3 linked regions of the Astyanax mexicanus genome follow. The protein of the gene in region 2 interacts with the protein of the main gene of each other region in a pairwise test. Links are inferred from orthologs where the notes say so. Each region holds a gene or a part of one and is shown on either strand. Other genes may lie near its edges. The genes, in order: pdcd7, fez1 and pam16.

Region 1 (8,642 bases), on a different chromosome or scaffold from region 2:
CATAAAATTTGGTTCTTTCATAAATTTATTATGGGTCTGCTGAAAATGTCACCAAATCTGCTGGGTCAAAAATATACATACAGCAACATTAGTATTTGGTTACATGTCCCTTGGCCATTTTCACGGCAACTAGGCGCTTTTGGTAGCCATCCACAAGCTCCTGGCAAGCTTCAGGTCGAATGTTTGACCACTCTTCTTGACAGAATTGGTGCAGTTCAGCTAAATGTGATGGTTTTCTTGCATGAACCCGTTTCTTTAGCACTGTCCACATGTTCTCAATGGGGTTTAAGTCAGGACTTTGGGAAGGCCATTCTAAAACCTTAATTCTAGCCTGGTTTAGCCATTCCTTTACCACTTTTGATGTGTGTTTTGGGTCATTGTCTTGTTGGAACACCCAACTGCGCCCAAGACCCAACCTTCGGGCTGATGGTTTTAAGTTTTCCTGCAGAATTTGGAGGTAATCCTCCTTCTTCATTATCCCATTTACTTTCTGCAAAGAACCAGTTCCACTGGCAGCAAAACATCCCCAGAGCATAATACTACCACCACCATGCTTGACAGTAGGCATGGTGTTCCTGGGATTAAAGGCCTCACCTTTTCTCCTCCAAACATATTGCTGGGTGTTGTGGCCAAACAGCTCAATTTTTGTTTCGTCTGACCAGAGAACTTTTATCTTTGTCCATGTGATCAGCAGCAAACTTCAGCCGAGTCTTAAGGTGCCTTTTCTGGAGCAAGGGCTTCTTTCTTGCACGGCAGCCTCTCAGTCCATGGCGATGTAAAACACGCTTGACTGTGGAGACTGACACCTGTGTTCCATCAGCTTCCAAATCCTTGCAGACCTGCTTCTTGGTGATTCTTGGTTGACTCTTGACCATCCTGACCAATCTCCTCTCGGCAGCATGTGATAGCTTGCGTTTTCTTCCTGATCGTGGCAGTGACACAACTGTTCCATGCACTTTATACTTGCGTATAATTGTCTGCACAGTTGCTCTTGGGACCTGTAGCTGCTTTGAAATGGCTCCAAGTGACTTCCCTGACTTGTTCAAGTCAATAATTCGCTTTTTCAGATCCACACTGAGTTCCTTTGACTTTCCCATTGTAGCTTTTGTAGCTGAGTCTAATCACTGGGTCAAATGAGCCCTATTTAAATGGGCTCATGAGAAGTCAACAGCTGTAGTCAATCAGAATCACTTACAAGAAGTGAAGAGGCCATGACATGAAGCTAATTTGATTGACACAACTCGCTACATCACCAAAATTGACAAATTTTGTTGCTGTATGTATATTTTTGACCCAGCAGATTTGGTGACATTTTCAGCAGACCCATAATAAATTTATGAAAGAACCAAATTTTATGACTGTTTTTTGTGACAAACATGTATGTGTTCCGATCACTCTATCACAGAAAAATAAGAGTTGTAGAACTTATTGAAAACTCAAGACAGCCATAACATTATGTTTTTTTACAAGTGTATGTAAACTTTTGACCACAACTGTATATATATAAATAAAGATTTTCTTTGCAAGTTTTGCAATTTTAGAGATACAAGAGCTTTGTGTGAAAGGAGCAATTTATTTAGGTGACTGTGGACAATTTGGTTGATTTTGTGTTTATTTTCCTTTCTGATTTGAATTATAATAAGATTATTATATACATTTTATTTTACATTTCAATTATTAACATGTTGGTGTATTAATATTTAAAATGTTGTGTGTATATTTTGCAGAGCACCAGCAAAAGAAGCAGCAGAGGAGGAATATGACTCTGGAATGGAGGAAGAGAACTGGACCAGGCAGGTTGATGCAGCCAAGAATTAAAACCAGCCAACAAAAAAACTTCTTATTTAAGCTCCAAATGATGAATAATTTTTTTATTTCAGTTTATTAAGTAAGTAATGATTCACCATGGGTCCATTTACACACATACATGTACACACTGATGTATGTAGCCCTGAATGATCTGTACTAATGACTGATTCACCTGTAAGTCACAGTGTGGAGTTTTCACTTATCCTGAATTATACTTATGGACAAATGATTTAGACGAAAAACATGTTTAAACCAAATGTAATCTATGAACTATGCCTCCCAGTGAGTGACTGTTAATAGTGAATGTAAAAAAATATTTTATTCCTTTATAAACATATGTTTAGATTTTTATGAGCTGTTTGCTTTCATTGGTTTGAATGGAGATAAGAGGATAAAGATCACATCTTCCTCTTTGTTATAATGTTGAATAACCGTTTTCTTTTTCTGCTCAGAGTGTTATAATATAAAAAAAAGTTCTGGACACAATGTTCCACTCTACAGTGTAAATCTGTTGAGATTTATCCACTGAGGTACTTGTTTTGTTTCATTATACTCCTTTAGCTTTTACTTGACAGGGAAACTCCTCATGAAATCTGAGTGAGCATATTTGTGACACACCGGAAGTAGTTCTTAACAAAACAACTTTGTAATAGAGTTTTATAGTCCTCTATTTATCTGCTGCTGTCTGTATTACCCTTCATGCTGCATTAGTTTTGTGCATGGGTTTGTTTGTCTTTTAATGGACTGGTTTAGAACAATAACTGTTCCAGAACGCTGCTGATTGGTTGGTCCTTAAGGAGCTTAAACATGAGCATAGTCTTGTTACTCTAACCTGTTAGACCAAGGTTCTTCAGATCTGGTCTTGGAGGGCTGATACACTGATGTCCAGTCCTGCTCAAACACACCTACTAACACTGGCAGATAAAAGACGAGTAGAATGAGGGATATCACAAACCATACTGGACCCTCCTGAAATGGAATTATAAGCTGCTGCATTAGCTAGATTTCCCATCAGTATTCTTTGAGAATTCCTCCAATTACGCACCTTGTATCTCTCGCTGCTCACATTTTCCTCTTTCACATTGCATGTTGTGTAATTCACATCCCACTTTTGTGAATTACACAACACTCATCTCTCCTTCTGACTGGGAAACCTTCTCTTAAGATATGTTTTTAATAGGTGTAGCTTTTTCTGTGTAGACTGATTTTCTGTGTATACGCACCATCATGGATTGTCTGAGTCAGATTGGTTTATTTTAAACCTCTGATAACATTCAAGAACAGAAAGAACAGATCAAACTGATTAAAAACCTCTTCAAAAAAACCTGCACAGATTCTGTAGTAAGATGAAACCAAGATAAGCTTGAGTAGGAAGAAGCACAAGATAGGTTGAAGTCAAACATGGTGGAGGCACTGTTTTTGAATGTGTTCAAATGGACTGACAAATTGTGACAGACTTTTTAAAGAACTTCAACTATTTTACAGCTGGGATCATGTGTACAGATTTTTCAGAAAAATCTTTGATCTAGGATCACCTCCCATTTTTGCTCTAATCATTATGATAATTACTAAAGCTGCACAATATATTGTTTGCTAATTGTGTACTTTCAATACATAATATAATACAATATCAGCAATTTGGTTATTATGTGCAGCCTGGTGGTGATCTTTTTTGTTTCAGAATTAATTAAATCAGTTATGTTACAGAACTGATTTTGATTTATTGGTCCTAGATCAACGTATTTATTCTGGGATGTTAAGCAGACAGATCCCATTCCTCTGTTCTTTTGTAGGCTTTCTTGTAAAATGATATGGGTTAATAAAGCTGTCCTTAACTCTCTGGCTTTGGATTCATTTATTCCACAATGTTCTTTTATTAATCAAATATCACTTGCGCTTAATGAGTACATTAATAGTGCACCAGACAATAAAGGCAATGGGTAGTTTTGGAGAATAAAGAAGCAAGGGTAAAAAGGCTAAGGGCTACAGCAGGCTGACTGGGTAGGACACCATTCGAAAAATGCATCCATGGAGGTACGGATATCTGAGAGGACAGCAGAGATCCCACCTGACACGGAAGTTAAGGGAGTCTCCCACATTTAAATAGGGGCCGCCTGCCCCCCACAAATTATATACAATATTTTATTGAGCAAGCAAGTTAAGAAGACACATACACATTGATTAAAGAGGCATTAAACCTAAAATCATTTTTTTCATTAGTAGCTGAAACGTGTTCCTTTAAAGTTGTGAAAATGTTTAGAAACATTTCATAAACTTAAACTGAGGATGATGTGTCTGCATACTTTGGTTCACAGACACTCACAATATGCAAATCAGTCTATCCCCTGGTGAAGTTCAACTTCTGAGTCTCAAAGCTATCAGAGGCACACAGCTCACCCCAATCAGATTTTAATTCTGCACCACCCCTAAACCCATACATCACCCAGTGCCCCTCCCAAATTACTCCTCACATTTTTTTATTTTTTCAAATATGAGCTGAGGGTGGAGTCAGCTAAAATCAGGGGGATTAGTTACCCTTTATTAGCGTGACAATAGATCATCCTGATTGGCATCCCTTGTTGCACAGTTACCACTAAGGTTTCTGTGTGGGGGGGTTTGCAGTTTGGCTTGATCTAGCACGAAACGAGAGAGTGGGATTGCAAAACACACAGAAAATGAAAAAAATAAACACATTTTACCTCATTATTTTGAGATGATAATGTATTGTTTGGAGATATTTTCCCAAAATTTGGAAATTATTTCTTAATATTTTGAAAAATGAATTGCAGTCATTATTTAATTACATTTTTGCATTTATTATTTTCAGATGTTCAGATTTAGTTTATTCAATTGATAAAATGCTATGTAATTTATTTGCAATTATCTTCTAATATTCTAAAATTAATATTTTTTTTTTTTTTTTTGATGGTGATTTTTCCTTTTTTTCTAAGTGGTGTGTGCATGGCCTTTCATGATTTAACAGGTAAACCCCATCTATGTTCAAAAACCTGTTCCCTTAATTTAATAAATCTCTTTCTAAATATAGCTAACTTAATTTTAAAAAATTTAATATTATTTAAAAGTTACTTTATTTCAGTAATTCAGTTCAAAAGGTGAAACTCACATATAGATGTATTACACACAGTACATCTATATAATATACGAGAAATAATTTATTATGATGATACTATGACCAAACTATGATTGATTAATTAAAACTTTTCAATATATTTCAATATATTTGTTTGAGATGGTATTTTCTAGCTTGATACTTAGCTAGCTTAAATGGCTAAAGACATACAGTCGGTTTGAAACACTACATTTAAATGTCTGTTGTTGGCGCCCTTTCTTTCAAGTGCCCTAGATCTAGTGCACTCACTCCGTTTGGAACACACCCAAACAGCCATAGAGCGGAAGTGACCAGCATTAGCGCTACATCCGGTTAGCGGGGAGCAGCGGTGAGAAACTGTTTAGCTGTTTAGTTAACTGGCCGGGTTACTGTTTATCTGTTACAGTAAAACACAGCGGCTGCATTCATTCAGGACTCGCAGGAAACATGAACAACCTCCCGCCGTACTCTGCGGAGCCGCCGGGAGCGGCAGAGGGCCGCGGGTACGGCAGCAGAGGCGGGTACGGTGTCGGAGCGCCGCCCGGCTCCGTCCCTCCACCCCCGACGCCGCCGTGGCCCGGACAGCACGGACAGCCCGGACAGCCCGGGCCGTACAGCCAGTGGCCGCCGTTCCAGCCCCCGCCGTTCTCTCACCCTCCACTTTTCGACCCCAGCAGGCCTCCTCCAGGCTTCTTCGGCGAGCAGCAGAACGCGCTGTGGCCTCCTCCGGCCAGCAGGGGGCAGCAAGCGCATGTAGGTACTGATAGGGGCAGCTTTGATCAAGGGGGCCCTTTTACAAATTTTGGACCACCACCAATCCCAACACCATGTCCACCAGTGCACCAGCCCAGGTTTCACCAACTCAACCCACCAGCCAGTCCAAGCTTCACTCCAGACTACCATAAACCACATCCCAGCTCCTTTCCTCACCATATCAACAACCCCCCAGAAGGCCACTGGTCAGGGGATGGGCAGAATAATGGAAACAGAACCACCACTACCACATCCACCACGTCCATGTTGCAGGTGACCCCTGACGCAGACACCACACAGCGGATTCAGGACGAGCAGTGGGTTAAAGGTTTCCTGCAGAGAAGAAGAAGGAGCAAGCCAGCAGCATCAGCCGCAGAAGCAGCTCAGCATCCCCCCAAACAGTCTGTTTCAGATTTCAGACACAAGCTCTACAGCACAGTCCACATGCTCTCAGAGCTCACCCTGCTCTGCCAAACCCTCAAAAACAACCTGGAGAACCAGGGCGTGTGGACCGAGGCCTACTCCCGAGCCGGAGAGCTGAAGAGCAGCCTGCAGGAGAGGCTGGCAGGCCTGCAGGACAGAGAGGTCATCAGCAGGGTCAAGAAGAACCTGGAGCTGATCAAGAAGAAGCGAGCTTGCATGCGCAGGAGAAGAGCGGAGAGGATGGAGGAGAAGCAGGAGGAGGAGAGGAGGGCTGCGGAGAGGGAGGCAGCTATGGACAAGTTCCAGCTGAAGCAGATACAAGAGTTGGAGGAGAAGAACAGGGTGAGTTGAGGGGTCATTAGGGGCCTGAGGAGGTGCCGTGGCTTTGGGTCATGTGAGGTGTTGGGTGGTGTATCATCAGGTGTACAGTTTTTCTCCAGATAACTACGTTTTACTCCAAACGTAGTCATCTGACAGCTACCAGTTTTGCGCTGGGTCCAAATATTTGTGGACACCCTTTATGTAAATGCAGTCAGCTGCTTTAAGTTGCACCCACAGCAGCTGACACAAATGTGCAAAAGACACACATTCACAGCTTGCCTTGTCCTTGTATAGAATTACCCCCAGTAGTATAGGACTCTGTGGCTCATGCTAGGCCTGTAACGATAAGAACGTTCTGTGGATGAAATATATAGATATATAGAAGTTATTGCGATAAATTATACAATTGTCATTTTAGGACCTTTAAATGACACTGACATAATGATAATAGAATAGCACAACAAAGCAGTTATACCATTTTAAAGACAACTTTAATTTATCGTAGTTTAGGAAATAATTGCATGACTGGCTAAAATACTGTCAAAAATTTGAATATAATTGGAAAGTTACTTCATATCAGTAATTTAGTTCAAAATGTGAAACTCATATATTATATAGATGAATTAAACACAGAGTGATCTATTTTAAGCATTTATTTATTTTATTGTGGCTGATTGTGGCTTTCAGCTAATAAAAACCCTGGAAAAGTCCTGCTGGAAAATGAAAGGCACATTTCCATAAAAGTCGTCAGCAGAGGGAAGCAGGAAGTGCTGTAAGATTTTGTGGGAAAACACTGCACTGACTTTAGACTTAATAAAAAACAGTGGACCAACACCAGCAGATGACATGTCTCTCCAAACTATCACTGATTGTAGAAACTTCACATGGGATTTAAATGCACAGAAGCTGTTTAAATGTGGAAAGTGCTTGAAGTTGGTGAACACATTTGTAATATTTTGTGTTTTGGCACTTTTGAAGACATGGACTAATTTGAGTGTATACTGAGTTGATTGTTATTTAAATTGATTGATTAATTTACAAGTGTTTTCTCATTTAGGAGCGTGAGCTGAAACTGGCTGCAGACGCTGTGCTGTCCGAGGTGAGGAAGAAACAGGCAGATTCTAAGCGAATGCTGGACATTCTCAAGGCTCTGGAAAAGCTAAGGAAACTTCGCAAAGAGGCAGCATCCAGGAAAGGTGACCAACGGATTCTTTATGCATTTAATTAGTCAAATGTTACCAATTTGGTCAGTTGACTTTATTATGTATCTTTGCATTTGTACACAGTACAACAAGTAGAGAAACAATTTAATGACTGGTCAAATAAAACAGTGAGATACACTACAGTACCAGCCAAAAGTTTGGACACACCTCTTCTCCTGATTTTTTTTTTTTACATTGTGCATTTTATATTGAAGTCGTTAAAGCTATGCAGGAACATGTGGGATTATTTTGTAAACAAAAAGTGTTAAACAAACCAGAATATGTTTTTTATTTTAGATTCTTCTAAGTAGCACATTTTTTTTATCTTTGAGGACAGATCTGCACACTCTTGGTAAGATTGGTAAGATTTTAATCTCAGTGTCTTCATGAGGGAGAGTCACCTGGAATTGTTTTCTCAGCGTCTTGAAGGAAGCTCCAGCTCTTCCCAATTAAATCACCTCAAATCACCATCTCAGATCACCAGGTTTAGATCAGGGGATTAATGCGGAGGACAAACACTTTTTACTGTTTACTACATAATTCTATGTGTGTCCCTTAATTGTTTGTATGTCTTTAATATTAATCTACAATGTAGAAAATAAATTAAATAAAGAAATAAAAATAAAAAACACTAATGATAAAGTGTGTCCAAACCTTAGGCTACTACTGCATATGTCCACATGTTTGTAGACAAATCTCTTCAAATAAATGCCATTTGCTGCTTTCTGTTGCACCAATTGCTGACACAGATGTACAAGTGTGCAAACACAGCGTGTCTAGTTTTTGTAGAGAGGGATTGCAAATAGTAGAACTCTGGACTCTATAACTTTAAATTTGACGTTCTCTACAGGCATGTTTCCAGAGAAGGAGTGTGACGAGGTGTTCGAGGGCCACCTGACGCGGCTGAGGAGCCTGATCAAGAAGCGCACAGCTGTTTATGGGGCCGAGGAGAAGGCCCTGAGGGTCATGCTGGAGGGGGAACAAGAGGAGGAGCGGAAACGGGATCGGGAAAAACGGCTGAAAAA
Region 2 (7,745 bases):
TGTAAATTTACAAATACATTTGTAGAATCTCTGCTAATCAATCAATGGAAAAGGACCACTGAAATAGAATCTCTACTACATCTGACCATTTTGAGCATCAGTGAAACCAACATGGCAGTGCCATGTTCATGGATATGAATGTTCCAAACTGCAGTATGGATTCATGTCACTGTAAGCCCATAGCTTGCACCATAGTGGAACTATCACACTACACTATCACAGGCCTCTCTGTACACACATGACGTCACGCTCTCTATGTGAAGCTATTACACACAGTGGAGAAAAAGGTTTTTCAATGAGAACCACAGCAACCGTATCAAGAGCAATGCTCAGTTGTGCTGCCAGTTTCCTATAGCAACGGGGCCTCTCAGACTCTTTTACACCATGGAGGGGGCTGTGTGTGTGTGTGTGTGTGTGTGTGTGTGTGTGTGTTGGAAAGGGGGTGGAGGAGCTGTCCTTATTGAGGAAAAATCAGGTCGTTCCAGTTTGTCCTTGAGTAGAAGCTTACTGGTTTATCCCACTCACATCCTTATTACAGATCATGCGACGAGGGCGGAAATTTAAACTGAGGAAATGATGATCTCCGAGAAGCAGTTTTTACACAGAGGGTTTCGCTTCACCATGTCTGCTTGGATGTCAGATTTAAGAAGGATGTGTGCGGATTGGGTCATAACAATTTGCATGTTCAATATATTTGCGTTTAAATGCAGTATAATTAGATATCTATAACATGGTTAGATGTGGTTGTTGAGGTTGCGATGAGAGATGGATGGATGATGTCATTGATGGAAATAAGCTTAGCTAAAAGTTTCTCATACGGAATCAGTGGTGTGTATGTGTGTGTGTTTGGGGGGCAGGGTAAATAAGGAAAACCAGGTTTTTGCGTGATAGGTATTTATTTAAATTGTATTTATTTTTATATTTTATTGAGTTTATTAGAAACAGACCAATAAAATGCACCAGAATAATTAATAATAACAACCGTAGTAATAACAAATATTATTATTATTATTATTATTATTATTATTATTATTATTATTATTGTTATATTTCTTTATTGTATGTGCTTTATAAATATTTATAAAGCACAATTTATTTATTGTTTTACAAATTATTTAATAATATATTGTTAGAGTTAATATACTGAATATATTTTAATATTTTAGGTATTTACATTTTATAAACTACATGAAATATATACACATAAATAAAATATATAACATTTTTTAAAAAGGTTTATTTTGGAAAGCACTGTCATTTTTTGTATATAATTAAAGCAAATGGAACTGCTAATTGTTTCAGATTATTAACTAATTTATTAATGAATTCACTAATTATATTGGTAATTATTACTAATTACTAATAGAACTGGTAGAGTTTATTTTATTTGAGGCCTCAAAATGGTTAAAAATCATGATCCTAAAAAAGAAAATGCAACTTTTTAATTAATTACATTATTTCATTAGCTTTTTCTTCTATTAGTATTAGTTTGTTTGAACCAACACCCACTATTCAGAAAAAGACCTTTTTAAACCTAGTTCTCTAGGAGATATTTGCACAATTTGTCTGAAATAAATATTGCCGTGATTTGCATAAAATCCCACTACACTACTATAAATAATCAAGACTCTACATAGAGTGACTCAGTAATGTGTATCATCCTTTGATGTTTCACTGCTATTAAGGAGCTCACCAGTGTATCTCATCCTCCTTTCTTCCTCAGCTGCTACGCTCACTGTGGTGTGAGTGTGAATTTGAGAAAGCTTTGTCTATAATCTGCTAGATCAGATGCTAATCCGCCACATATGCACGACTGTCAACAGCCTGAACACAGCACCACGTGGGCTGCCCCACGGTTACATGATTGCAGTTCTATTCAGGCTTGGGAGAAAGTGAGTGTGTGTGTGTGTGTGTGTGTTTTCTCTGTGCTTGTGTGTCTGTCTGACCGTCTGTCTCTATCACTGTCTGAGTGAATGTGTGTGTGTGTGTGTACATGGTGCTTTTTAAAGCGTGAAGCTCAGATTAAGCCCAGTCAGGGATTAGGGCCATGCAGGAGATGTGGCGTCACCGTTGTGTGTATGTGTATGTGTGTGTGTGTGTGTGTGTGTGTGTGTGTGTAAGAGAGAGAGAGAGAGAGAGAGAGAGAGAGAGAGAGAGAGAGAGAGAGACAGAGAGAGAGTGAGTGTAGAATGTGATTTGATAGCTGGTCTAAATGTGTATGTCCTCTTGCTCCATTAATTCATATTACCATGGTCCTCCAATTACATATACTGCATCTGTGACTATATTTATAGTGTTTCATTTGAATGCAAAATAACATGGTTGTAAATATGCTTTTTTATTACAGTGCACAGATTTTTAAATAGGCTTGTTTAATTGCATCTAAGCATCTACACTCTGAATGGGGTAGTTAAAGAATGACATAGAGAACCCCAAACGCAAGATAAACAAATCAAAAATGTTTCTGTTCTGTTTTTAAATATTCATAAAACTTCTTTATTATCATTGTGGCAATTACATTGTTGTTTTCTTATTTAAAGCAGTTGTGATCTATGTGGTATATAAAAAAATCTTCAGAAAACATATGGAAGTCATTAGTGATAATGAGGCTTGCTTTGTTTCTGTCCCTAGGACTGCTTATTTGAGTTTAAATTACCAGTATGTATTGATACTGTTAGCAGTGGGAGACACGTAAGTAAGTATATCTTTGTCTAGGGACGCACCAAAATATATTTTTTGTGAAACCGAAACCAAAGAAGATTTTGATAAGATTAGCTCTTTTGTTCACAGTACATACACTTTGTAGTCTAAATGCATTTTTGTCTTGCTTTTCAAAGAAAAAATATTTGCAAAACTATAGTTTTGAAATATTTGCTAAACACTTAACAGTGCTATTCTTATTATTTATGTATTTAATTAATTCAGCTACAAAGTGCCATTCTAATCATTTTAATTCTAATTTACGTAAGCAGTGCGATGTTAGTCGTAAATTTACCAGAAAAATGTAGGAAGCTCAACCAGCCCTGTACACTATTCTCTTACTCGCTAAACATATTTTAAAACAATATTTGCTGCATTCTTACTTTTTCCTGTCTTTTCCACAGCTGTCTACAGACATTAAGACTGATCGGTACAAAGTACACAGCACAAAGTCTCCTTTTGCACATTGTTACAATACATGTTGGTATCCCCATGGGGTTGAAAACAAAGTAGGCCATATGAATCTGCCTTTAATAAGCCATCCACTGCAGAAGAACCATCTAGAGCCTATATATTTGCACCTTTATAAGACATGTAATAAGTCAAAATGCTTTGTTTTGGTTTATAAAATGATTGCTTAACTGAATTTAAATTTCAATATTAATTCCAATAATAATTCTACTATAAGCAGTGGGAGACTCTTTAGTAAGTATATCTGCTTTGATATATTTTTCCTATGGATCTTCTTTTTTTGTCTTGTTGTCAAAGAAACAGCACTTGCAAAATACAATTTTAAATATTTATTAAATTAAAGTACTAAGTATTTGATTTTAGCCATGCTATCCTAATCATTGATGTATTTCATTCATTTAGCTATATCAAGTGCTTTTCTAGTCATAAATTTACCACAGCAGTGCAATGCTAGTCATAAATTTACCACAGCAGTACTACTTAAGGCACATGTGAGTAAATATACACAAAGGCATTCAGTGTTATGGTAAACATAGAGCCAAACATGTTTTGCCACATATTTTGTGTATCCCTTCTTTTAACTGTCTTTTCCACTGCTGTCAGAGAGAGAAACTGATTCAGAAACTGAAGTGGTCTGTTGTACTGTACATGTCTCTACAAGTATGGCTAGCAATATTGACAGCAGTGGAAAAGTGGCAATAATGGGGTCCAAGCACCAGCCCAGCACATATAGTACACAGAGAGTGACAAAGGAGGCAGCAGGAGCAAGGTATGAATGAATGAAGCCTCCCTCACAGCATCCCTCCATTCTCTCATGAATATGGAGGCTGTACACACTGTGCCAGACGGAGAGAAGGAAAGAGGGAGAGAGAGAGATAAAGGGAGGGAGAGAGAGGGGGGTAAGGGGGTGTGGCTTGAATGAGTGATGTGAATGATGAGGTAGATGAGGAGAGCGCGGAAGGAGGAGGGACTGGAGGGGGCGGTGATTCCGTAGTGATGCGCAGGCTCGGTGAGGAGGCTGCTGCTGCTGCTTATTGATCAAAAGACAAGCGGCTGCTTCAGGCTGAGGAACAGAGCGAGCCAGTCAGGCAGGGCAGGAAAAGCGAGGGATATTTATAGAGATAAAGAAAGATAGAGAAATAGAAAGAGGGAGAGAAATGAAAGTGTCTGCCATCATATCCTGCTGCATGATGGTGGTGTGGTTCTGACCTGCTTGGACTAAGGAGGGGCTCTCTCTCTATCCTGCTACACAACAAGGAAAGACTCTACTGAAGGTAAAACAATGTGTCTCTTTCTCTTTCTCTCTGCCCTTCATCTCCAATCCCCCATTGTTTTCCCTCCATCTCATCCTCCTCCTACTCTCCCTCCTGCTCCTGCTCCTCCAGGGAACGTCTAACCTTGATCTTTCATTCTCCATCCCTCCTCTGTTATCTATCCGTTCATCTATCTGTTCTCTCTATCCATCTTTCCATTGTTTCCATTCCTCCTCCTCTTTCACCTTTCCTATCATTATCTCCATCACTTTCCCTGTGTAAACAGTTTCTCTCTAAGCCCTTAGAGACCTATATCAGGAAATAGCTAATATTTATCTATACGTTTATTTGTAATATTCCTATAATTAACAGTGTTTTATCACTGTCTATGATTTGTATTTAATTTTGTTGACTATAAATTAATAAAACTATTCAGCTCCTTCAGTTCCTACAGCTCCTCACTCAGTATCTAGCAGGGTTGATATATGGTGGCTTGGTTTCTCTCACTCATGTTTTTTTACAGTCATCTCGTGCCGCCATATTTTCTCCTCAGCTCGACGCTCACGGCCTGTTAGCATCATTATGATGCTAATGTTGTATTAAGCAGGTGAAACCAGCTACATTAAATATTTACAAAGCAGGAGTATATCCCTCCCAATAGATATATTTTGAATGAGACATGTAGATATTATTGTAATATTATAATACATATAATACAATATATATTAAATATAGTATCTAAATCTGTATAGTATCTTATAAAGTAAAGGTTATATTGTGTAAAGGTAATATAAGAATACGTACAATAACAAAATATAACGTAAATTTAAAATATAAGAACACATTCTTCTAAATGCTATTAATATAAAGTATATTTCTCACTAAATATGCAGTATTTACATGGGGTTATAATAATAAGCAATTTTAACAATTACATTTAAGGGTTTGAAAGATTTGAATGTATGTTCATGGGAGTGTATATTTGTGTATATACTCTACAGCAGATTGCCTTTATACATACAGCTTGAAACAAAATGATGCATGAAAACTGTGATTTAAAAAACAGGGTTATTCCATGAAATATTGATTTCCGAACTCTTAAACCTTTATGAATATGAACTTGTTTTCTTTGCATTATTTAAGGTCTGAAAGCTCTGCATCTTTTTAGTCATTTCAGCCATTTCTCATTTTCTGCAAATAAATGATCTAAATGACAAAATTTTATTTGGAATTTATTTGGAGAAATGCTGTCTGTAGTTTATAGAATAAAATAATGTTTATTTTACTTAAACATATACCTATAAATAGCAAAATCAGAAAAACTGATTCAGAAACTGAAGTGGTCTCTTAATTTTTTTCCAAAGCTGTATGTGTATGTAATCTACAGCATATCCTTTTGAAGAGCAATGAACTGCTAATTATTACAATTATTTAGACATTAGATTTGAATTTATATATATTTAAATATCCTAAATAAATAAAAGTCAGCATACCTGCTCATTCTTGTTAATGTTCATTCTTACGATTGTCTAATATAAAGTGGATTGCCCTGACACATGGGCTACACTTATATAGATATTAGAGTCCTCACAGATTGTAGATCATTTAGATAACTGTAATAACATTATGCTGCAATGATTTAAAACATTTCATTGCTGTCACACAAAACCTTCTCAATTTCATGGTGACTGGACCAATAGAAATAGTCTAGTAATAACTTGGAATTAAGCCTTTTTACACAAACATTCATTGAAGGTAAAGCAGAAAGAAGAGTTTTTCCCTCTCATGTAAAGTTTCAGGTTTGTTATGTGTATGGCACTTGGATTATGTTGTAGGCGAGATTTGGAATTGATCATGTTTTCCACAATTGTATATACTCTATGGAAAGTGTTCAGTGATTTAGTTTTCCAGTCATGACGTTTGAGTTCCATCGATTTCTCTCATCAACGTTCTATTTACAATCCAGCACAATTCTGCCACCAGGCCCCCCCCACCCTTCCCCCTCTGGCAGAGTAAATCAGGGCCTTGCCTCCGGGTCACTGCACTGCATGACTTCAGCTTGTTGTCCTGACTATTGATTTGAGTTTTAATATAGCCTTGTTTGGTATTTTTGACAGCATTTGGCTTCAGGCATGGAAGTAGAGACACAGAAACCCTGTGTGGAAGTCAAAAGCTCAACTTTAATGTATCTTACACACACACACACACACACACACACACACACACACTGTGCTACAATAAAACAGTAAAGCATTAGAGGCATGGCACTTTGCTGAGTAATGCTCTGCAGAGGGAAAGGCTTATGTCAGGCCCGTTTAAATGGATTTTGATCCAATTGTCTTTGTCCTAGCGATGTTAAGTTTCCACACACCCTTCGAGGCTTATTCATGGAGATAAAAAACAGGATCCGTTTCTGTCAAAGTTTGCTGGAAAATAATAGTGTCATGAAAGTTTGGGAAATTTACTAAATTTACCCAAATATACACCTGAACAGTAAGAATATTTACTTATTTACGTACGTAAGCTCAACATGGTTTCACAATGTACCATTCACTCCCCAGTCTAAAAGTCTGAAGACACTAAACAGTTTGAAATATATATATACAAAAAATAGTTTTAAAAAATCCCAAAACCAATTAGAAACAATACAGCACTGTGAATAAGAAAATAGATCATTTACTACAACTCTATGCAGAGGTTTTATGCACCTAAACACATTATTTTTGGTTATTTATCTCAGCAGTCAGAGTCTGTGTTTGTGTACAGGAAAACGCAACACAAAATTCTCATCTTTAAGAAATTGCTAGTTGTATAATGCTTGGTTCCAGATCTCTCCTGGATGCCCACAGCCAGCGCCCAAAGTGGATATGATCAATTCCATAACAAGCTCACCTGATTTATCAAACCAGGTGTTGAATAATAACTATAAATAATATTAGACCAGAGGGAAGCCATGGCAAACTTAAAAGAACACAGTGACAAATCAGAAATCACCAAAGTTTGGTTTTCATGTTTTTGTATTTATTCTAATGTTAGTGTTTTACTGAACAAATTAAACATATTGCCCTGGTAAGGAGCTTTTTAATTCTAATTTTCAATAGTGTCTTAAACTTTTGTACTAGATGCTCAGTAAAAAAAGAAAAACAACAGCCCTTTTCAATATTTACAGGTAAGGCAATGTTAAATAAATTGTAAAATATAAATCAATTAACAGTTTTTGGTACATAAATGTATGAATATATGGATATAAACAAGAGATAAACAATCCCAAAAAAAAATAAGTTTTTTGTATGTGGGTAGTATTTAAGTATACTTTTACCA
Region 3 (8,443 bases), on a different chromosome or scaffold from region 2:
CTCTCTCTCAGTAATCAGTTTTAACAGTATTGTATGTGATCAGTGCAGCTGCCAATCATCTTGCCAATGATGTTTATCACCTAATGCTGTTACTGTTATTACTAATAATAATACAGGAGGATACTGATCATTTAGTTAATAGCACTTCTTAGTGTTTTACACTTCATGTTATTAATAAATAGGGAATTATTACTGGAAGTCTTGTTCTGAATGTGATGAGCATCAGTGTTTTGTATCTTGTCTCTGATTGATCTTTGGGATGTCTCAGTTTTTTGATTGATGGTGATTTTTATACTGTGGAGATAAGTGATAACTGCATTACTGTACCCTCTCCTCTGTACTGTGGGAATGTTGCCTTGCAATAAAACAAAAATTACTAAACAAATTACGTCTGGAGTGTTTAATGTATTTGTTTAAATAATATATATATATATATATATATATATATATTAATCATATATCATTTTGTTTGTTAAAATGACTTTAACTGCTTGTTTAATTACAGTTTATTATAAAAGTCATTTCTATTTTTCTATTCTATATGGTTCACTCAGTGTCTTTTTCTATTTCTTTATTTAATGTATTTTCTACATTGTAGATTAATAATATTAAAGACGTGAAAACAGTTAAGGTACACATATAGAATTACGTAGCAAACAGTAAAAAATAAAATAAAATAAAAGTGTTATTCCTCCACATTAATCCCCTGATCTAAATCTGATGAACTGAGATGGTGATTTGAGGTGATTTAATTGTGATGAGCTGGAGCTTCACAGCGTGAAGGAAAAGCAGCAGCTATTGTTCAGCACCTCCAGGAACTCCTTCCTTCAAGACGCTGAGAAAACTATTCCAGGTGACTCTCCCTCATGAAGATACTGAGATTAAAATCTCACCAAGATTCTGCAGATCTGTCCTCAAAGATACATGTGATACTTATTTAAAATAATCTAAAGTATAAAACTATAATAATCTGGGTTTTTTTAACACTTTTTCTTTCCAGAATAATTCTGAATGTTTTTCTTGTATAGCTTTAATATAGTCTTCAATATTAAATTTACAATGTAAAACTAAATCATAAAAAGATACAAAACACATTGAATAAAATAAATTATACTGTATTTTTCTTCTGGCAATGTTTATGCATTAAAACATTATTAATCTGAAATTTGTAATATTTTTTACATAAATTAATTATATAACCAATTTTGGACCATATTTTTTGCTATAATTCACTTTTTATAGTCCTTATTATATTATATAATATTAGCTTTCTTTAGCTATATTTGATTTTTTTTTAAATGTTCAAAAAGTAGATCACTTTTTAATATTTTTATATTAATTAATTATTATATGGATTAAATCTTATAAATAACCCTCACTCTTTTCTTTCTTTCTCTCTCTCTCTTTCTCTCTCTCGAATATTTCCATCTTCATATTCTGGTTTGTTTTACACTTTTTGTTTATTAAATAATTCTGCATTTGTTCCTGTATAGATTTAATATAGTCTTTAAATAAATTTACAATGAACTCTGGGTTCAGTTCACTTACTTTGACTCGGGGGACTCTGAAGGCCACAGGCTCTGGCTCACATCTCTCACATCACACTCCACCTTCAGCAAGAGGCTCAGACCCTGATCACGACTTAATTATCTTGTTCCCACGCCTTAAAAAAGAATGGAAACATATATGATTAACAACCAGTGTTGGGCACGTTACTTTGAAAACGTAATTAGTTACTAGTTACTTCTTCAAAAAAGTTACTAACTGAGTTACTCCACTATAAAAGTAACTATTGCATTACTTTTGTGTTCCTCGTCCCCGTAAGCCCCTTGTAGTTAAATATAATTGAGTTTATTTTACCCCCGTTTATTTCAACGCCATTATTCCCATCACTGTTATCAACAAATATGAACACTGTAGTTTACTGTATTGTAGTGCCAGTATCTCACACTGTAGTGCAGTCTGTTTTAACTGTGGTATAGGGGTGTGTCATTATATTGTACAAATCAAACTTTTTTTTTTACCATTTAAACTCTTCAGGTCCAGTGAGCCTGAAATGGTAAAAAAATCCATTGAACTTAAATTGTATAAAAGCAGCTTCCATGTGACTCCAAAATGAATGGGTTCATATGGAACAATTGAGCAAAATCAGACTTTATAAATGTTTGATTATTTTTGGTTAGTGTCCCGTTTATCAGTTAAATTTTCAGACCATTTAAGGCTAAACTTAAAAATAGAAAATTAGATGTAAAACTTCATTATTCATTTTTTTTTCCATTTGGTGTTGCATGTTTTTTTCCCTGTTTTCATTGCTGCCCCAAACAAAATAAATACATTTAATTAAAACAAAGAAAAAAAGAACTCTTATTTTCAATTTTTTAAGTTGGTTGGATTAAATTATTAGATATTTTTTCGTAAAATTCTGATTGTGAGGGGAAGAAGAGAAGTTTAGAACATTAAAAAATTTAAAATTAATGTTTCATTCACTAAAAAATGAGGTTTTCCACTGAAAATTCTATTTTCAAGTTTGAACTATCAAAAAAATACTTAACTGAAACAGTACAGTTTCCATATTTATTTTGAAAATGTTAAAATTTACTAAACACACAAAATAATATCAAATGTGTCAGAACTGCAGGCAATGTTTTTAACTTTTAAAAAAAAAGTGCAGCTATAAGCCTTGTAATAAACCCAGCGCTCTGGCTTTAACTCCACTAATCAGCCAATCAGATCACAGTAGCATTACTGCTAGCGCATTTACTGCCTAAATCGTGTTTACTGTAGAGAAATTAAAACATACAGGTGAGGTTTCTTTAAGTTTTTAGTTAAATATTATAATCTATTTTCTAATATTAAAGTAATATCATGAATATGTAGTCAGACACTATTTTTAATGTGTATTTTTAGCCGTTTAGCCCCATTTACACCCATTCATTTTGGACTCACTCGCGGGCTCCCTCTAGCGGTTAGCAGTAATTTACTTATATAAAGGGGGAAATAAAAAGTGGATAGTCTCTATATAAACAGCTCTGGTTGAGCACTGGGTGTAAATCAACCCACAGAAACTGGAATAAATGCGCAGTGCTTTAATAAATTGTATGGTTCTGTAAATAAATGTATACAGAACTAGCTTAGTGGAATATATAAAATAAAGGTTACAGCACAGTCAGCAGTGTTGTGCCAGTTCACACTTAAAACAAACTAGTCAGTTTAGTTCCTATTATTTAAAATTGACTAGTTCACTTTAATTTGGTTCGTTTCCCTCTTAATATATAGATACGTAGGCTATTATTTTCCATCACCAGCCCAAATAACAGTAGTATAAAAAATTATACAAAATAAATATATTTCCATAAAACCACACTAATTTATATACTAAAAATTGCTCATTTACTCAATACAGATCAATATAAAATGTTTCTTTACTGCAGACATATTATTTAACCTTTCAAACTCCAGTTATAAAGCTTTTTAAAAAAAAACATGCTATGGGTGAAACTACGCTATTAGCTCACCAACCAATCAGATCACAGTAGCAGTAATGCTAGCGCCTTTACTACATAAAATCAGTTTACTATAGAAAAACTCTATCATATATAGGTACGTTATGATAGTTTTTAGCAACATACTTTATTCTACTTTCTAAAATGAAAGGAAAATCCTGCAGATTTAGTTAAACACTATTTTAAAGTGTGTTTTTAGCCGTTTAGCTCCATTGACTCCTATTCATTGAGGACTCACTCGGGAGCTCCCTCTAGCGGTTAGCCGTCAGCAATACGCTACCAAACATACACAAATTAACAGTTGTCACCCTCAGGTGGACAAACAAAGAACTAAGACCCACTTATATAAATGTTTAGCCTTCAAACATCATTTAAACATTTCTCAAACATTTCTCAAACATTAAACATCAAGAAAATGATAAATATTACTTACGTATGACCGCACGCACTCCAAATCAAATGAGCGGCTAAAAAGCTAGGTAATAACCCGAGCACTAGAGAATCTGTCTGGCTAGAGGTACAGGTGATTGCACCTACAGAGCTAATTAATTCTCTACCTTCTGATTGGGTGAGAGTTATTGAGCAAGATGATAGGTAGAATCGTTAAGGGGGCATGGTGTGAATTATACAATGAGAAATAATTGTGGGTGTTTATACAATGTTAAACGCATACAAAGCTTTTAGTTTATTCTTCACAACTTTTCCTTCCACCTTAAATCTCATTGATCTGTAGTAGATGTTCTATGAATTTTAAACATTTTTGCTTATGTTGTGCCGATATGATAAACGACCCACCTAACTTTTCTGGATTTGAATTGTTGTGTTCCACCTTAAAAGCCTAAAAACGCATCTAAACCCTGAAGTGTGTCGGCACACAGGTGCAACGGTAAATCAGCAGCATTTAAGGTGGAATCTTTAAATAGGAAGCAGAATTTATGGCGCAATGTTAAATTAGCAGCATTTAAGGCGGGATAGCAAACTGACAGCATTAAACAGGGAATGGTAAATTGCCAGCATTTAAGGTGGCATGGTAAATTAGTAGCATTTTAGGCGGAAAAGCAAACTGGCAGCATTTAAGGCGGAATGGCAGATTAGCAGCATTTGAGGTGGAATGGTAAATGAGCAGCATTTAAGGTGGAGTGGTAAATTAGGATTTGAGCAGCCTTTAAGACGGATGGGCAACTTGGCAACCTTTAAGGGGGCATGGTAAATTAGCAGCTTTTTAGTTGCAATGGTAAATTGGATGCATTTAAGGTGGAGTTGTAAATTAGCAGCATTTAGGGTGGAATGGAAAAAACAGCAGCATTTAGGTAAATGGCAACATTTAAGGTGGAATTGTAAAAAAAATCAGCATTTAAGGTGGATTAGCAGCATTTAAGGTGGAATGGTAAATTAGCAATTTAGTGGTGTAAAAAGCTGCAGTGTGCGGTACTGAACAGTAGGGGGGTGTAGTGCTGTAAAGCGCTGAGGGGTAAACTTGGCTCTTCTTCTGTGGTTGGTGTGTTTCTTCACCTTGATGGAAGCGCGTGTGATGATAATAATAATATAACTGAGAATCTGATCATATTTCTAATTTTCAGGAGAAGCGCGAGGCTCAGATATGGTGAGTATTAACGATATTACATCATAATTACACACTGCTTCAGTTTAATCAGGATATAAATACACAGAAACGGGTTAATCTGCTGTCCTGCAGTCATTTTCTGCTGAACTACAGGATTATATCAGACCTTTAATCATCATTACACTGATTATTTACTCATTTATCTGATCAATATTGCTGTTTTAGTGTAGAAATATACTTTAAGACACTATAGTATTAATTTTAACAGCCTGAATGTGTCATATATATTAGAAAACTCCTGGTTTAATGTAGGAAAATGTACTACAATAGGTGAAGTCTGATTTTCTAGATAAGCACACGTTTCTAGAAGTAAATAAAATATATAAATATATAGTTACAAATCTTATATAAAGAGTTATTTCAGCAAAAGGTTATGGATACACTGCCTGTTGTTTGAGAGACTGTTTTACCATAGTTTTAAGAAGGTTTTAGTTTTTAGTTCTGATGAACATGTTCTTAAAATCAAATATCATTAAAATGTTGAACTAGTAATTATAATGATAGTCCCCAAAGACACAGTATGTGTTCAGGCTCGTCCACACATATCTAGATATGTTTAAAATCAATATAAACACAGGTGTCACAGGTGATTACAGCAGCTCACCTTAACTGTTTGAACTGTTTGAGCTAAAGCTGAAATAGAGGAAAGTCCTGCACTTAATATTATTATTATTAGAGTTGAAGTGTAATTTTAACTCTTTCAGATTTAAATATAGTTCAGTGTTGGAGTTATTTGACATTTTTGAGGTACATATATCAGTGTTAACCCAAATAAACCCAATAAATACTGCTCAACCTCACAGAGATTTAATTTAATTCATTTTTTTATAATGGGTAAGTTTTTTTTACAACATTATATATCATGTTATATACAGCTCTGGAAAAAATAAGAGAGCACTTCAGTTTCTGAATCAGTTGAATTCTGAATCTCTGATTTTGCTATTTATAGGTATATGTTTGAGAGACATTGTTGTTTTATTCTATAAACTACAGACAACAAGAGCATTTATTTGCAGAAAATGAGAAATGGCTGTTCATATTCATATGTTTTAAGAGTTCAGAAATCAATATTTGGTGCAATAACCCTGTTTTTTTAACCACAGTTTTCATGCATCTTGGCATCATGTTCTTCTCCTCCACCAGTCTTACACACTGCTTTTGGATAACTTTATGCTGCTTTACTCCTGGTGCAAAAATTCAAGCAGTTCAGTTTGGTTTGATGGCTTGTGATCATCCATCTTGCTTTTGGTTTTTAATTTGGAAAATCAAAGAAACGTATCAGTTTTAAGTGGTCTGTTAATTGTTTTATCCAGAGCTGTATAAAGCAATGGCTTCTGAGTTTAAGTGTGATTTACTACAGCAATAATAAATGAGTAAATGTGTGTGTGATGGCTTACAGTTAAAACCTTTTGACTGTTGGAGTATTTAAATATTTGTTTGTATTTGATTTTGCAGCTAAAAGCAATATTTTACCTGTGTTTTTGTGACTGATTGTTTTGTATGCAGGCAAAGTACCTGGCCCAGATTATAGTGGTGGGTGCGCAGGTGGTGGGCCGGGCATTTGCGAGAGCTTTACGTCAGGAATTTGCAGGTGAGCTCCAAACTGCTTGGCAATAAAATTTAACCCCGACTATTTTTTCTGCGTCAAACAGCTGCAGTCTCTTACTGAAGGCAAAATACTTTATTTATTTTATTTGGGTGGCATTTCCCCTTTCTAATTAATGAAAAGATGTTGAAAATATCAAGAACATCAATGTATTACTTTGTTTGGACTATTTTATTTTATGTTGACTTTACCAAGTAAACTTTTGATCAAAATATGGTCAAATATGTATGTTCTGTTTTTAAGCATTTGAAAAAGGGCTGGTATATTTTATTATTACCATTATTATTATTATTATTATTATTATTAAGACTTCTGAATGCAATTGGTTGCCCTGGATATTAATTGAATACTTTTGCACGTCACATTTTTCAGATTTTTATTTCATAAAAAGGTAAACCGTGTATAATTTTTGTTTCATTTCACACATATGTGCCTCTTTGTGTTTGTCTACCACTTAAAATCTCAATAAAATACATTTAAGTTTGTGGTTGTAAGGTGACAAAATGTGAAAAAGTTCAAGAGGTATGAATACTTTTACAAACCACTGCATAAACAAGCAAGGTATACATGTTTTTATGTAAATAAGGTGTATGAATCTAGCCTATCAGGATTCTTTAACTACTAAATCATATATAAACATTATTAAACATGTGCACTGTGTCACAGCGAGTCAGGCTGCAGCAGAAGCCCGAGGGAAGGCGGGGGCGCAGTCGGCCGCAGCGTCCAGCTTCACCGGGATGACCGTCCAGGAAGCCCAGCAGATCCTGAACATCTCCACGCTGACCCCGGAGGAGATCCAGAAGGTAAAAACACTGTAAACACACTGATACACACATGTGCTCTTCATACACACATTTTTATTAGTGTACTAAAGTCAGATCATCTTTCATATTCTCTACAGAATTACGAGCACTTATTTAAAGTGAACGACAAAGAAGTGGGAGGCTCGTTCTATCTGCAGTCCAAGGTGAGCATCATCATCATCATTATTATCATTATGATTATGAGATACACAGATCAGCATAACATTATGACCATTTGAACATTTGGAACGTTTAACTACAGATTCAGAGCTTCTGTCTCTGACTTTACTTTATCTACAAGATGGAGCAGCTGTAGTAGGTAGGAGTGTGTAATAGAAAGGAGGACAGTGAGTGATTAAACACAGTGTTTAAAAACTCCAGCAGCACTGCTGTACCAGAGCAACACACACTTACACCTCATACACCACTATCAGCAATTGCATTCCTTTAGTAACCATAGTAGAAAAAGGTTGAATCTGATTACCCCTTTAAAAAGTTACTTTATGTAGTTACTTTATTGATTACTTGACTTTTAAAAAAGTAATTAAGTTTGATTACAAGTTACTTTATTAGATACATTCATTACATTCCCTCAGTTCTGCCAAAACTCACTTGCTCTGTAAGTTTTTCTGTGCTGTGCTGCAACTTTTTGAAGATAGATCACCAGCACAGAGTGAACAACCTTCATATTGTCATTTTTATGTATAGATAAAATACATTAAAAAAAAAAAAATCTAATTTTACTGTCTGTATGTGTAATTGTACTGTCGTTTAGTGGTTTTACACGTGAGTTTATCTCATGCTGAAAACATGACTTACAGTAATTGTTGCATAGGAAAGATGTTGCTCCTTGAGATAGAAGAAAGCAAAAATATATCTTTTTACCAAGATAAATAACAAAAATAGT

Evidence for each region.
Region 1: the proteins of fez1 (region 2) and pdcd7 interact in a two-hybrid assay, tested with the Homo sapiens proteins (2 studies listed by BioGRID and IntAct). The link is inferred for Astyanax mexicanus from reciprocal best matches to the Homo sapiens genes FEZ1 and PDCD7.
Region 3: the proteins of fez1 (region 2) and pam16 interact in a two-hybrid assay, tested with the Homo sapiens proteins (2 studies listed by BioGRID and IntAct). The link is inferred for Astyanax mexicanus from reciprocal best matches to the Homo sapiens genes FEZ1 and PAM16.

What each region holds. Positions count from the first base shown.
Region 1 is NC_064423.1:9,379,604-9,388,245, reverse strand, and holds the start of pdcd7 (programmed cell death protein 7), read left to right. Parts: upstream 1-5,229; 5' UTR 5,230-5,365; coding exon 5,366-6,436; intron 6,437-7,472; coding exon 7,473-7,611; intron 7,612-8,467; coding exon 8,468-8,642. Other genes in the region: clpxa (caseinolytic mitochondrial matrix peptidase chaperone subunit Xa), read left to right, coding at 1,728-1,818. UniProt on the Homo sapiens protein: Promotes apoptosis when overexpressed.
Region 2 is NC_064427.1:33,817,029-33,824,773, forward strand, and holds the start of fez1 (fasciculation and elongation protein zeta-1), read left to right. Parts: upstream 1-4,161; 5' UTR 4,162-4,445; intron 4,446-7,745. UniProt on the Homo sapiens protein: May be involved in axonal outgrowth as component of the network of molecules that regulate cellular morphology and axon guidance machinery.
Region 3 is NC_064426.1:40,098,462-40,106,904, reverse strand, and holds the start of pam16 (mitochondrial import inner membrane translocase subunit tim16), read left to right. Parts: upstream 1-4,960; 5' UTR 4,961-5,103; coding exon 5,104-5,106; intron 5,107-6,633; coding exon 6,634-6,718; intron 6,719-7,399; coding exon 7,400-7,536; intron 7,537-7,634; coding exon 7,635-7,700; intron 7,701-8,443. UniProt on the Homo sapiens protein: Regulates ATP-dependent protein translocation into the mitochondrial matrix. Inhibits DNAJC19 stimulation of HSPA9/Mortalin ATPase activity.